Linked DNA regions of Stegostoma tigrinum. The protein of the gene in region 1 interacts with the protein of each later gene in a pairwise test. Links are inferred from orthologs where the notes say so. Each region holds a gene or a part of one and is shown in the gene's direction. Other genes may lie near its edges.

What was found.
Region 2: the proteins of ccna1 (region 1) and cdkn1bb interact in binary tests that used the Homo sapiens proteins (3 or more experiments, as listed by UniProt). The link is inferred for Stegostoma tigrinum from reciprocal best matches to the Homo sapiens genes CCNA1 and CDKN1B.

The regions. Positions count from the first base shown.
Region 1 is NC_081359.1:85,059,847-85,067,164, forward strand, and holds the start of ccna1 (cyclin-A1), read left to right. Parts: upstream 1-4,234; 5' UTR 4,235-4,407; coding exon 4,408-4,572; intron 4,573-4,780; coding exon 4,781-5,039; intron 5,040-5,274; coding exon 5,275-5,402; intron 5,403-5,874; coding exon 5,875-6,098; intron 6,099-6,260; coding exon 6,261-6,465; intron 6,466-7,318. UniProt on the Homo sapiens protein: May be involved in the control of the cell cycle at the G1/S (start) and G2/M (mitosis) transitions. May primarily function in the control of the germline meiotic cell cycle and additionally in the control of mitotic cell cycle in some somatic cells.
Region 2 is NC_081371.1:28,399,752-28,408,076, forward strand, and holds the start of cdkn1bb (cyclin dependent kinase inhibitor 1Bb), read left to right. Parts: upstream 1-5,026; 5' UTR 5,027-5,363; coding exon 5,364-5,844; intron 5,845-6,232; coding exon 6,233-6,357; 3' UTR 6,358-6,372; intron 6,373-7,888; 3' UTR 7,889-8,325. UniProt on the Homo sapiens protein: Important regulator of cell cycle progression. Inhibits the kinase activity of CDK2 bound to cyclin A, but has little inhibitory activity on CDK2 bound to SPDYA. Involved in G1 arrest. Potent inhibitor of cyclin E- and cyclin A-CDK2 complexes.

The DNA.
Region 1 (7,318 bases):
TTCTGTTTTTGTTTGTCTCAGATTTCCAGTATTTGCAGTTAACTGTTTTATGACGAAGATAAATGTTGTAGTCATTTTTTTCCGGAAGTTAAGTGGAGCTACAGCTGTCAGTCTACTCACATCCTCAAAAATTTTATTAGCAACCAAACAGCTGAGGGGTGTATAAGATTATGCATTAATCCAATTAAGATACTGGGGTTGAAAAATGTGTGAGAAAATGAAATAGACAACTTAGTTTAATCAAAAGATATGAATGAGGAAGCCAATTTGTGGAAATGAAAGCAGACATGACCAAGTACCATTAAATAAGCATTATAATCTAAAGCTGAGAATTTTACCAGGCAGATTCAGACATTTACAGTACAAAATGATACCAATATGTCTGAAGCATTCAACAAAGATCAGACTCACACTAATCCCATGTTCCATCTCTTGGACCATAATACTGGAAGCTATGCCAATGGAAGTGAATATCTAAATATTGCGTAAAAGTTGAGGGTCAAATGAAAGCAAAACACTGCAGACACAGGAAATTGAACCAAACAGGATTCTGAAGAAATTCAGCAGGTTGGCAACATCTGTGGAGAGAGAAACAGAGTTAAAGTTTCAAGACTTTTAGAACTCTTCAAAGTATTTCTGAACAGTTTTAGTCTGGGGGGTTAATAAGAATGATAAATATCGTAGTCGTTTTTGCTGGAAGTGGAGCTCCACCTATAAGTCTAACTATGTCCTAATAAAGCAAATGGGCACCAGAACAGTGCTGGAGTTTCTGATGAAATGCTCCTGAGTTTCTCCAGCATTTTCTATCTTTAAAACATAGAACATAGAACAGTACAGGCCCGTCAGCCCACAATATCATGCTGACCTATTATCCTACTCTGAAATCAAACTACTCTGCATACCCTACATTTTATGATCATCCATGTACCTATCCAAAAGTCACTTAAATGCCCCTAATGTACCTGACTAAACTACCACCTCCGGCAGTGCATTCCACACACCCACCACTCTCTGTGTAAAGAACCTATCTCTGACATCTCCCCTATATCTTCCTCCAATTGCCTTAAAAATGTGCCCCCTCATAATAGTCATTTCCATCCTAGGTAAAAGTCACTGGCTATCCACTCTATCTATGCCTTTCCATCATCTTGTACACCTCTATCAAGTCACTTGTCATCCTTCTTTGCTCCGATGAGAAAAGCCCTAGCTCCCTTAAACTTTCCTTATAAGACCTCTACTCCAGTTCAAGCAGGATCCTGGTAAATCTCCTCTGCACCCTTTCTAAAGCTTCCACATCCTTTCTACAATGAGGTGACCAGAACTGAACACAATATTCCAAGTGTGGTCTAACCAGGGTTTATAGAGCTGTAGCATAACCTCGCGACCCTTATACTTAATTCTCCTGCCAATGAAATCTTTGATATAAGTTGAGTTTCCTACTCAACCAGGCATTGGACTGGAATGGACAAGGTCAAAAATCACATGACACCAAGTGATAGTTCAACAGGTTTATTTGAAAACACAAGGTTTCAGAGTCTCGCTCCTTCTTCAGGTGTTAGTGAATGGTGGCATCAGATGCAGAATTTAAAACCAAAGATCAAAGTGTCATTGAACTGATGTGAATGTATTGAATAAACCTAATATGGCTGTTAAATCATTAATCAGCTAGAAAGGAGATGCAGGTTTCGGTTGAAGTGTTTGATAAAATAGGGCTGAGTTGGCAAGGCTTTGTCAAAGGTACAGGTAATGAGCAAGTAAACATGATCCATTTGGATTTCTAGAAGGCCTTTAACAACCCGCATATGAGGATGCTAAATAAGACAGGACCTACTGGTATTGGGGGTAAGGTACTAGCACGGAGAGAGGATTGGCTGATTTGCAGAAGGCAGAGAGTAAGGATGAATGGACCTTTCTCAGGATAGTAGCTGGTGACTGTTGGGGTTCTGCAGAGGTCCTTGTTGGAACCACAATTATTCTGTTATATATTAATGATCTAGATGAAGGAACTGAGATATTGTTGCTATGTTTGCAGATAACGCAAAGATAAGTGGAGGGACACGTAGTGTTGGGGAAGCAGGGAGGTTGCAGAAAGATTAGAACAGTCTTGGAAAGAGGGCAAAGAAGTGGCAAATAGAATACAATGTGATAAAGTGTGAGGGTGTGGACATTGGAAAGAAGAATAGAAGCATAGACTATTTTCAAAGTGGGGAAAGGTTTTGGAAATCTGAAATATAAATGGACTTGGGGATTCAAGTTCAGGATTCTCTTAAGGTTAACATTTAGGTTAATTGGTATTTAGAAAGGCAAATGCAATGTTAGCATTCATTTCTAGAAGGCTTTAATACTTTAAGAGCAGAGATATACTGCTGATGCTATCTAAGGCTCTGGTCAGACCACATTTGAAATATTGAGTAGTTTTGCGCCCCATATGTAAGAAAAGATGCGCTTGCACTGGAGGTAGTTCAGAAGATGTTTACAGAAATTATCCCAGGGATGAGCCATTGAGCACTCTGGAACTATACACAAAGTCTAGGATAGGGGATCTGATTGAAACTCACAGAATACTTAGAAGCCTGGACCTAGAGGTCATGAAGGAAGTATTGGCACTAATAGGAGAGACTAGGATCCAAGAGAATAGCCTCAGCATGAAGGGACAACCTTTGGGAACTGAGATGGGGAGGAACTTCCTCAGACAATTGATGGTTAATCTGTGGAGCTCATTGCCACAGAGGGCTGAGGAGGCTGAGTCATTGACTCTATTTAAGACAGAAATAGATAGGTTCTTTATTGGGGAGTGGGTCTAGGGTTATGGGGGAAGGGCATAAACATAGTGTTGGAAAACATGTCAGCTACGATCTATTGGTGGAGCAGACTCTATGGGCCGTATGGCCAAATTCTGCTCCTGTATCTTATGGTCTTCACTTCCAAGAAAAACAACCCCAATCTGTCCAATTTTCCAGAATTTATTCTCACATGATTTAGAATTGGTGATGGATGCTGATGTTGATTAACAATGTTTTAATTGTAATGTTAACCCACATAGTTTGACATTGTATTTAAGTTCATTTTAATTGTGATATATGTAGTAGAACTCCCAGCTTCCAATAGTCACCTTATTTTATATTTAATTTTACCTTGTTGATTTTGACTTTAGGCTTGGGTTGTAATACCTGGGGAACGATCCACGGCAAGAGTCAAAACAAACACTTTAATTATTAGATAATAAGGTGTAGAGCTGGATGAACACAGAAGGCCAAGCAGCATCAGAGGAGCAGGAAAGTTGACGTTTCGGGCCTAGACCGTTCTTCAGAAATTGTTAAATTATCTGTTAATAGCACTAATTTGGTGGGGGTTGGGGTGGTTGTGGTAGTTGGTCTTCCTGTTGCCGAATGCTTATTCAGCTAATAAAATGTGAGGCTGGATGAACACAGCAGGCCAAGCAGCATCTCAGGAGCACAAAAGCTGACGTTTCGGGCCTAGACCCTAAGGGTCACATTTTATTATCTTGGAATTCTCCAGCATCTGCAGTTCCCATTATCTCTGCTTATTCAGCTATCTGTATTTATGACAGCCGATTGCATGAAGCATTGGACTCCCGGGTCTGGCACTAAGATCTGCCGACTCTGCACGCTTCTAACGCTTACAATAACCAACTTCCTCGCTAAAAACTAATCCTATGCGATTCATACTTGAAGTCGTACTATACCACTTTGGGCCTATAAATGCAACCCCCACCATTCAGTCCATGATCAAAACCAGCACCAAGCATTTTGCGCCACAAGATTATGTGGAAAAAGTTGTCGTCCATCTTTTGCATATTGTTTTCTACCTCCGATCCCACCCAGAAACTCGTGGAAAATGGGTGAAGCCGGAAAAAGACATTTACAACGGTTCCCGTGGAAGCGCCTTAAGGATTGGATAGATACGGCAGGAAAAGGGTTTCGGATCTTATATTTTGAAAAACAAAGGCCTTCGGAGAAAGTCTCCCCAGTTTTCGTGCCGCATCCTGCGGGGTACAGAATGTCGAGCGCTCAATTCTTTCCCAAAGATGCTACTTCTTTGTCGCCTTGGTAACACGCAGCCGCAGAACATACGGAAGTCAGGTGGCAGCCGGGAGCGTGCTGCGTTACCATGGCACCGGGGAGACGAAGCTCACGTGCGCCAATAACGGAAGGTGATTGGTGCGATTTAATAGACGCGGGCTGCTTGAAAGTAATTTGCTACACGATGGGAGTGGAGGGAGCTGCTTTTCGCCCGGAGACTAATTAGAGTCACTCCGCTATATAGGCTGGCTTCAGGCAAGCTCTTACACACTCATAAGTGTGATCTGAGAGGGTATTGCTTAGAGCTGAACGGCGGAAAAAAAAAATTGTGCGAGCTAATTTTTTTGTTGGTGCTGTTTAATTTATGTATGTAGCCACCATGTACAGGAGTAATTCCGCTGCTGTCAAGCGCAATGCTAATCAAGAAAATCAACATCTTGTCCCGCAGATGGGCCCAGTTAGCCAAAAGCAAAGGACCGTTTTAGGGGTGCTAAATGAGAATGACCAGCAGAGACGTTCACTTTCTCAGGTAACCTCTTCAGTAAATCCGCTATTCCTGGGGCTTCCATTCTCCCCCCCCCCCCCCCCCCCGGAATGTTCGGAGCTCTGCTATTTAAATCTATCGTTTGGAGCTCTTGGGCGATTTCGGCCGTTTTGCAAACTATCTGACCTTGAATTTCCCTTTTCTCCGCACCCCCCCCCCCCCCCCCCCCTCAACACCTAATGCGTTTCATTAGGTTTCAGCGAAAGCTTGCAGCACCATTGCAGTGGGGACTGACAATGGGTTCACTTCGAAAGGCTGCAGCACCCTCTCGGAATATCCGGCTACTTTTGTGTCCAACCCGAACTTCTCCATTTACATGGAGGATGAAGTCCAAGATGAGGTCGAAGTCTCTGAATGTAACTTGACCTCTGAACTGGAATCTAAACTTGGAGAAGTTGGCAACATCTCCAAACCAGCAGACGACTACTGTCTGCTCTTGGATCTGAGTGAAGGTAATTGCGAGACGCGAGCTAAATTTGTTATCGCTCGATTTGAGCTTTTTTTAATCGCGTTGCCTTCTAAAATATAGATTACGTTACTGCATCCGTTTTATTTTCGCTACTAACACGATTGGGTTCAAAACTTTACCATTCGAGTACATAGCCCTAGTTCTACTTTGTACACGTGTTCGAAGCATTCTGTTCCCAAACCTTCATTGGCCGTTCAATGTTTATGTCGTCTGTACAGTCTCGCCTATGATAGTAGATTCATCAATGCGCTCGCAGCGTTCACATGAAGATTCGCATCTACACGTAAATTACCTCGCCGTGGAAGGCTATGCAGAAGACATTTATCGGTATCTCCGAGAGGCAGAAGTGAGTCTCAGCAGCATGCGCTTTAATGTTTATTGAAATAACAACATTTTCGGCTGACTGTATGTCCTTCGCGGTTCTCCGCTGGCTTTGGTCATAGTGCTAGTTGTCCTGAGTTTTTTCCACTTGGGCATTCAAAACTCGCCTGCTGCGAAATCTACTTCGAAACAAGATTTAACTACGAGAAAGTCTGTATCGCTTATGAAACTGCTTTTGTTTCACTCACTCTTAATCTCCAGGCGTCCAACTCCGCTGCAGTTGGACTACAGGAAATAATCTAGTAGCACTAAGCAGTGTTTGTCTGGATTTCAGAGCAGACTTAGACTCGTAGTCTCCGCCCTTCAAATTCGTAGGCTCCCAGTTCATTCCCTGTGGGATGAATTTTTAATTCTGCACCAGGACTTGTCACTCTAGCAATTCGGCTTTTCTCATCCGCCCAACTTGGCGTTAATCGTTGAAAGTGTTTATTTTTCAGGAGAAATGCAGACCGAAATTTGGGTATATGAAGAAGCAACCAGATATAACGCACAGTATGCGCTCAATTCTGGTGGATTGGCTAGTTGAAGTTGGTGAGGAGTACAACCTACAAACTGAGACACTGTACTTAGCAATAAACTACCTGGACAGATTCCTGTCGTGTATGTCAGTCCTGAGGGGAAAGCTGCAACTGGTGGGCACAGCAGCTATGCTGGTAGCATCGTAAGTCTTTCTTTTTTAATTCTAGCGTGGGAAACTTGTCAAGTCGCTATCTGAGCGCAAACTTAAAACAATCGTGGCTGGAGGAATGCGCAGATTGCGTAATCTCGGCAATTTTAATACAAACTTAATCTCGAACGATCAATTTGTACACTTCCCCCCTAGGAAATACGAAGAAATCTATCCCCCGGAAATAGATGAGTTTGTCTACATAACAGATGACACTTACACAAAAAAACAACTCCTGCGCATGGAGCATCTCCTACTCAAGGTGTTGAGCTTTGACATGACTGTCCCAACAGTTAACCAGTTCCTAACGCAGTTTTTGAAAGAGGAAGGGATCGATGGACAAATGGGAAACCTGGCGATGGTATGTATCTTTTTTGCCTGGGTAAAATTCCAGTCCAACTCCTGGCCTTCTACAGGTAGGAATTCTACTCAAATTCTGAGATTTGGAAGACTTAAGAGCCCAATTTATTTGGGTAAATCAGTGTCTGGGTCCTGGCACCTCTTCGGATGCCGTTCATACCAGTCATTTTAACAGCCATTTAATCTAATAACATTTTCCAGTTCTTGGCTGTTAGCTTTGCACCCTATAGCATTTGGTGAACACCTGGTACCATTTTTGAATGTCTTGCTTTGGTTCTGCCTGTATCGCTATCGCTTAGGCAGATGTCCACAACTCAGTGCTCATTGGTTAATTTTTTTGGGTCTTGATCTAAGTACGAAGGTTGTCTGGTCCCTGCTGTTCAGACTTCGCAGAACTCCTTTCTCCATCTTCCCCATCCCCCTCTACCACCCACGGGGTTCAACTTTTTAAATCTCCTTAGTTGAATTGCTCCAGTCTCGAACGTCCTCCTTTTGTCTCCTCTAGTACAGTCACATCACCTTTTTAGTGTGGCAACGAGAACTGCATACAGCACCACAGCTCTGGCTGAAGTAATACTTTTTTATATGCGGGTCCATCATGACCACCTTGTTCTTGCCTACTAGTCCAGAGTATTGGATAAAGGTATCCCATATACCATCCTAACCACTTCACACTCTAATGAAAAGACAGGTTGTAAATGCACAATTGGGGTGCAGTGATGGTGTCCTGCCTTGGGGTTAGAAGCCTAGAGTGCAAGCCTTGCCTGACACCAGAGATCTGTTTTTTGTCTAAATATAATTCAGCCCTCCTGTCAGTAGGAAACCAGTAACTGCTGAAGCACTGGCTATTGACA
Region 2 (8,325 bases), on another chromosome or scaffold:
ATCGAGTGATGGAAGTAGATTAAACAGTGACTTGAAAATAGAAATGGAAATACAGTATACCTGAAAAGGTAAAAATTACAAGGTTAAGAGGGAAAGCACCACTGTGGTGGGGCAAAATGGATTATGCAAAAACCTCTTTCAAAGAACTGGCATAGGCCTCTGGTCTAATAGCTTACTTCTGCACTGTAGGGGTCCAATTTTTTTTTGATTTTATCCTCTTTAATCTTCGTAATTTATTCAACACTGTTAGGCATGCTATCCTTCCAAAACCCTGTTAGGCATGCTATCCTTCTCTGTGCATAGTTCATGTCTGTAACACCGTCTGTCCTGACTCCATCCTGTCACATTATAGATAATATGTCCAACAATTTGTCCTTCCATACCCAAGTATCTCTAGTGCAACTAGGGTTACATAATTACCCATGCCATTTTATAAATTATATCATATTCTTTCGTCATGATGGTTATCCACATTTTCGGTTGTGTATTCAACATAAAGCCCTGGATGATCACATATCTTCTCCAAGTTAATGCCAGCAGAACCAAGTTGTCCTTTACAGCTGCTGCAAACACTTTACAGTATCTTATCCTTGGCTGCTACCTCATGCTGTACTGTTCAAGCTTTAACTGCTTCCTTCCCTATAGTCAATCGAGCACGCACCAGGCCGCCTTTGTTTCACTTCTACAACAATGCCTGCCTTTTACCCATCTGTCTTTCTTTCCCATCAAAACCCAATTCCATACATTTATAGGTCGATTACTACTCTCCTCCAATGATAACTGTCCCAATTCTATCATTTAAAAATCACAGGTACTGAGAATGTTACAGCTATTCCATCTCCTACATGAAGGCCTTATTACCATTACACCACCAAATTCAAGTAGCTTCCTACTGCTGCAAAGAACTGGATTCTCTTTCAAATCCCTCCAATAACTTTCCTACCCATCCAATAACCACTGCACTCCCCACCGGTGGCCACATAATGCATGATATCCACCATCTCTTCACCCTTGAATACACTCCTATGTCTGGATTGTTGCCCCATTGTTCATTTCTCACCCTTTGTGTTTCCCCTTCCTGCTTTTCTTTCTGTTGATTTATTTTCTTCTCTACTTGGGACTCTTTCAAAATTTTCTTCCCCATATTCCAATCTGAGACATTTTTGAAGGCTCCGACAATGTTCCAAAATATTAGTGTATGGGAACATTGGAGCAAGAGTAGACCATTCACTTGGGTTCATTCCACTAAATTTGATCATGGCTGATCATCTACATCAATCCAATCATTCCACTCTATCCCCATAACACTTGATGTTAGAAATCTATTAACTTATGCCTTGAACATAATGCAACAGTGCCCTGTGTGGCAGAAAATTCTTTTAGACTAACACCTCCACTTTCCCAGCTAGGGGAAATATTGTTCCACACCCAACTTGTCCAGTTCTTTAAAAAATTTGTACATTTCTAAATGTTAGTGAACATAGGCCCAGCCTCCTCAATCAGTCCTCAATTACAGGAATTAATCTGGGGAAACTCTGGAGTTCCCTCTACAGCATGTATATCCTTCCTTAGATAAGGTGACCAAATTATACACAATACTTCAGATATGGTCTCACCAAGGTTCTATACAATTGAAACAAAACATTTTTACTGTTTACTCAAATCCTCTTGTAATAGAATCCAACATGCCATTCACCTTCCTGATTGCTTGCCGCATCTGTATGTCATCTATCAGTGACTTATGAACAAGGACCATTTTCCCCTTTGGGCATAAACACTGCTCAATTTCTGAAGAAATACTATGCACCTCATTATTCCTATCACAAGTGAATAATCTCACACTTATTCATATTAAATTCCATCTGCCATATTTTTTCCCATTCTTTGTATCCTCCTCACAATTTAGATTCCCACTTAGTTATGTGCGATCAGCAAACTTAGAAATATTACATTTGGTCCTCATTTCCAAATCATTGACATAGATTGTGAACACCTAGGGCCCAAACACTAATCTTTTACCCATCTGTTTCTTTCTGTTAACCAGATTCAATCCATGCTAGTATATTGCCCTTTATCCCACATGCTCTAATTTTCCTCACTAATATCCTAGGTGGTACTTTACCAACAAGCTTCTCAGAATCCAAGTGCACAAGATTCACTAGTCCAATAGCTCCCCACTACCAACTAAAAAAAACTCCAACACGTTTGTCATTATGATTTTCATTTCATACGTCCATGTTCACACTGACCAATTGGATGATTATCAGCTACCATACATTTTATAGAGTCCACTATTTTTCCTATCACTGATGTCAGGCTACCACACCTGCAGTGCCTTATTTTCTCTTTGCTGTTTTTCTTAAGTAATGACATTATATTTCAACGTTTACAATTTGGAAGTATTATACAGAATCAATAGAATCTTGAAAGATGACAACAAATGCATCCACTCTCTCTAAAGCCACCTCTTTCAATACTCTAGGTTGTGGATTATTGGATCCCAGCAATTCAATTTTCAGTCCCAGTAATTCTGCAGGACTACATTTTTTTAAACCACACCTTTTTTTCAGTTCTTCAATTCATTAGTTTCTTTGAACTATTATTTCTGGGAAATTTCTTGTACCCATTCCCATTATAAATTACCCCATATCTGTTTGTCATGGACCCACATTTGTCTTTCCTATTTATATACGTATATAAGCTGTTTTTTTTTGTTTTGGGTTGGGTTCATATTCTATTCTCCCCATATTACAATCATTAAGAACTTGCAACAAACTGTCATGCACATGGTTGCAAAATTCAGCATAGCTATTGAGGTGCAACAAATGCAACGATCCGATGCCTTGTCTGAATGGCTTTACAGAGATAAACAATCCTTCAATGGCTAGATCAAATATGAGACTACTGCTATATGTGCCCATAGCAATTCATATGCAAAATCCTAACTGAATGTTGGACGCTCCATTGATATTCTTCCCTATTCCACTATCCCGTTCCCGTTTCGCTGTCAAGGATTTAACAGAATTTGGCGCAAATTAGATTATTGAGTGACAGGGGTAAATGCTGTACTTTAACTAATAAGAATAACTCATAATGGTTAAGATAACCTCTCTGAAGTTTGTCTTATATAAGAATCGGTGATTCCGCATGCATTATAAGCCACCACCGCCCCCCCGCCCCCCGAAGATGGGGCGGGATATAATGCTCAAGTGTACTAAGACTGATTGTAACTACATTTGGAAAATGTGCTCTGGGTAAATCGGAGATTTATTTACTTTGTGTCAGCTTTGTTTGGGCGATACATCTTGAAACACATTACAAATTACTCCACGGTTTTACCAAAGGAGTCGTCGTTTATCCGAGAGAAACACAAATACGGCGTTTGCCCTTTCCCTGCAGTGTCCCCAAAAGAGTGATTCAAAAATATACTAGGTGTGATTGCGAAGCACAATAAAACAATTCTAAGCAATGATAATTTACACTGAAAATACTTTCTGAATCAGTTACTTTCTAGCTTTTGTCTTGCGACCTCATTACAATCAAGACCGTTCATATTTTTCTTTGCTGCGCCCAGTATTTATAAGTAAACACAGCGCAATTAATGTGCAAACAGTGAGATCGACCTCTGCATTTCAGTTCTGTTGACGTCCTAATGTTTACCAAAATTGACTGTTTTCTTGGAATACAATCACAGAACATGTTTTACAGTGAGATCTGAGTCTTCATTTCGTTTCCCAAATACTACATACACTGAGGTGAAGGAAAAGTCGCCTTTACGTATCGAGTCTCGAAAAGCGATCCCTGGATGTCTTGGGTAGCTCCTAAACATAACACCTTGTAACAGCTATGAATGCGTCTAGAAGGCTCTCAAACAACTGCCGAGAAATCAACTACAAGACGTTTTTACGGTTATGTTTAATTCTTGAAAACGACATCATAATTTCTGACGCGCCCTTTTAGCACTCTGTGCAGTCACCTGCTGTATTGCTGAAGGGAGACACGAGTTGCCAGTTAAACTACAGTATCTACAATGAAAATATGATTTACAAACTCTCACCCACGTTAATATTTTAAAATAGAAAGAGAACCCCGTATTTTGTGAATTCGACTACATTACTATTGTTTCATAGCCTTTATTCTGCACTCACCCGGCCAGTTTCAGATGATTAATCCACAAAAGTGGTAAACTGCACAATTGAGAGCGGTTATTGGCAGAAAGTCCAAGATCGGAGTTAAAAAAATTCCGCCAAGAAACATGTTTACGTCGCATAAAAGGAAACCAGTTAAGATTTTAAAATATAACCGACACACTGTTAACCCCTTGAGCACTTTCCAGTAAAGTTACTCGGTTGGTCATGCGTGCTGCGGCTGTGCTCAATCATTAGCGAAATCATTCATCTCACTGAAAATTCTCCAGTTTTGGGATGTCTGAGCATTCATCGAGAGCAATTTTCATGAATAGCCTGATTACTCTCGATCATTTATTGCGAGGTGTTTGCTGCATTTGTAGGATTTTAACAATTAGTAATGTGCATTTTGAGGTGTAGGATAGCTGGTTTATAAACAAAACACTTGGATGTGCTCATGAGCTGCCCTATCGTCCAGGGCTACGGACCAAGAGTTGGAAGCTGGGAGGGAGGCTGGATGACGTTTACCCGTCTAGTACGGAAACGATGGACCAAATGCACTCCTACGCTGTCATATGTTTTTTTTAATGTCCCTAATAGTCGGTATAAAGTCACTTCAATGAATCTAAGTGATGCAATATGTAGGAGAATTCACGTTTGCTGCGGGAGAGCTGTGTTTGCTGCGGCTGTCGGGTTGATGGCGCTACGAGCTGACTCCTCTTTAGTAGGTTTCACGCTTCGCTAATACTTCTCCATAGGCGCCTACCTCTCACTCTCCCTTCGAGGAGGGAGGGGGAGAGAAGAGAGAGATTGCTTGTCAATAAACAAAACGTTTTTAGATCATTACAAGGTCGCTCCCAGCCTAGAGCAAGCTCGTTCCCGAGTCCCAGCCCTACACTTGAGGGCGGGACAAGGGCGGAGCAGCTTCACTCCGGCCAATCGCAGGGTGCTCTCTTTTTAAAATTCCCTGTCCGTCACTCAGTTTCCTCTTCGTCAGCCTCCTTCGCCATATTGGGTAACTGAAAAAAAAGCCAGTTTTTTTTCCGCCTTACTGGAATCAGTTTTGACGAGCGATAGGTTGTAAACTGCTGCTGTTGTTGGCGTTTTTGTTGTGGTTCTGTGCTTTGCAGCTTTCTGAAGAATTGCACGATATTGTTACATCGTGTAACCTTGCAGTCCTGCTGTCTGTGAGGCTTCGGACGATTTGCAGCGAGAGGGGGTACGAAGGGAAAAAAAATGTCAAACGTACGCATTTCTAATGGTAGCCCTTCGCTGGAGAGAATGGCAGCTCAGCAAGGAGGGCACCCAAAACCTTCAGCCTGCAGGAATCTTTTCGGTCCCGTAAACCACGACGAGTTGAACCGAGAGTTACAAAAGAAACAGAAGGAGATCCGCGAGCAGGACAGGCGGAGGTGGAATTACGACTTCGAGAGGGACAAGCCGCTGGATGGGAATTACAAATGGGAAGCCGTGGATTGCAAGGATGTGCCTCATTTTTACTGGGGTTCTCCCAGGGAGCAAGTGTCATCAGCCGATTGCAGTATGGATGTGAACGGGAACCATGCGATAGTTTGCGCAGGAACTCTGGCTCAGGGAAATTCAGGGGAGACACACTTTGCGAATTCAGAGCAAAAGGACGTGGTTAAAGAGACAACTGAACATTTCACGGACTCAAAAGAGCAGTGCTGTAGTCCCCGAAAACGAGCTGCGTCAGTCGGTAAGTGACAAAGATGTACTCTATTGGGAGTTGCAGGATCCATTTTCAAACGGACCTTTCTGACCTTTTTTTTCGCGCAAAAAGAAGCTTTCACTGCCAACCAGTGGTTTATTCACATATTTCCGCGGACCTGCTTTTAAAATCGTGCAGTTCTTGGTCTGTTTGGGGTTAAGCATGAGTTCCCCTACGTTTGAAAAAGGATACTGCAACTTCAAAGGCCTTTTACAAAGATGAAGCAAACGGCTTTTCTCCCCCCTTCAACAAGCTTGAGATGTGGTTGACTACTACCCATCAGCACGACGAACCTTCATTAAGGAGTAACGCACATAATATACTATCATACTGAATTTTTTTTTACAAATTTTAATTTAGCTTTTCTTGATTATAGATGGCTTTCCAGAAGCAAAAAGAACCAACACAGCGACGGAGTCAGACTGGTCAGCAAATTCTCCCAATATAAATACATTAGAGAAGACGCCGAAGAAATCGATTTCGAGCGGGCATCAAACATAAAGCAAAAGTGACAAGGTAGCTCTTCTGTACCTTTTTTCAATTGACTGTCTCCTCCCAAAATATCATATAACAACAAAGGTAGCAACAAGACTTTATACTGCATTAACCGGTTGGCCTCACTGGCCCAGGTTTGAAAGCGTACACAGGGTTGTAATGTCACTCGTGTTTCTTTGCTATATTTTCTGACCGACACGTATGCACAGGTGATTATTTCCAGCTGTTTTCAAATAACCAGATACACTGTAGCGTTCTGCACAAGTTAAACATCTTGGGTGTCCTTTCCTTCCCTCCACAATACGGTAGATTGCTTTGCACAAGTCTTGTCAATAAAGTCTCAGGACTGACTGCGAAAACGTAGTACATTACGCGGGGGAGTGCGCAACCACAACTGTAATGTGTCTTTGTAGGCTTTATACATTGGGCATTTTTTCCCTTTACGCCAACTTCCAACATTAATACAATAAAACAAGAAATAATCACGATTAAAAACAGATCACAGGAGGAAGCTGTTCTTTATCTCCCCGGCTGATGTACAAGCAGCATTCAAAATTACACTTGCGGTTGAGTCCAAGGTTGTAGAATAGCTGCATGGCACATATATTTTAACGTTTCTCTCATTTCCCCTATGATTTTATAAGTTGTAGTAAAATGTGAGTGGCGGGACTATGTGGTGTACACTCAGGTTTAATATACAAACAAGGGGTGTGGTGGGGAAGCTAGCTTTTTAAATAGCTAGTCTCAACAAATTAAAATTTAATGGAGATGCTTATTTCTTGGCTCTGTCCACATTCGTAGTCAAAGTCGTGCATTGAAAATATTGTCCACTACTTTTTGTGAAGTATTGTGTATGCTAAACTGTCTTCTGTATCAGTTTCAGATAGAACAAGGTGTGTTTGCACTGAGATTTTAAAACATCCTAATTAGACTACAGATATATTGCCCTGTGCAGTTGTGATATTTCTTTAAGTTGGTAGGTCTAACTAGTCAGATCCAAAAACTCTCTCTTTAAGAAACCTATATAGGTGACTTTCTTTCAGGTAGTGCTGCCACACTCACCATATCTCCCCCCTGGCCCAAAGCAAATCAGTTTGCTTTTTAAAGGAAAGGCCTGGATGCACCACAGCTAACTATATTCAATAACAAGTAATACATATTTGTGCATTTGAAAATTATAGCAACTAGTTAAATGTGGTTCTTGTGTCTAAAGTCCCACCATGCTGACAAATGCATTTTTTGATTACTTCCAGGCAGTGTAACTTGTCCAGTTGCTAGATTTTTAAATCAAATATTGAAATATCATGTTAATAACATGATCATATCTGTGCACAAGTCTTAGCACTAATGGTATTAGTTGGCTCAGTGTCCAGTTGAATAACCAATTGCTTAACCCTTTTGCCAACTGTACCCTGTAATCAGCAGCTGAGTTGAAATTATCAGTGTAGCTATGCCAAATAGCATTTTAAGTAATTCCAATGATACATAATTACCAAACATTGTATTAATCTTTTTACTTTGTATTTTTCCTTGTTAGGTATGAAGATCCTTTTTTTTCCCCCTTGTTCATCCATGGCAGTGCTTGATGAAGCGAGGACGATCTCCTCAGAGACAGACATATCGTTATCTCTCCAAGTGTGGAGAGCCCAGGCACTGAACTTGTGAACACTAAACCGCTGATTTTAGAGTGGATATAGCGCTGTGCAATTAGGTTCTTCCTTTATCACTTGGCTGATTTTACTACCTGTGTACATAGTTTTTTTTTGTAGCACATAAATCATTTTTGGGGGGTGGGTGGGGTGAAGGGGAGGAAGTGGGAAACTGTTAAAATGCAGAGTTTAGAAAATGTATGACTTGAATAGTAGCAGTGTAGTTTTCCAATGCAGTTTAGAAACTGCAAAGTTACAATACCTGTGTATTGTATGTTTAAAAGAATAAAAAAATCTAAAATGTACCTGTGTACATAACTTTGTA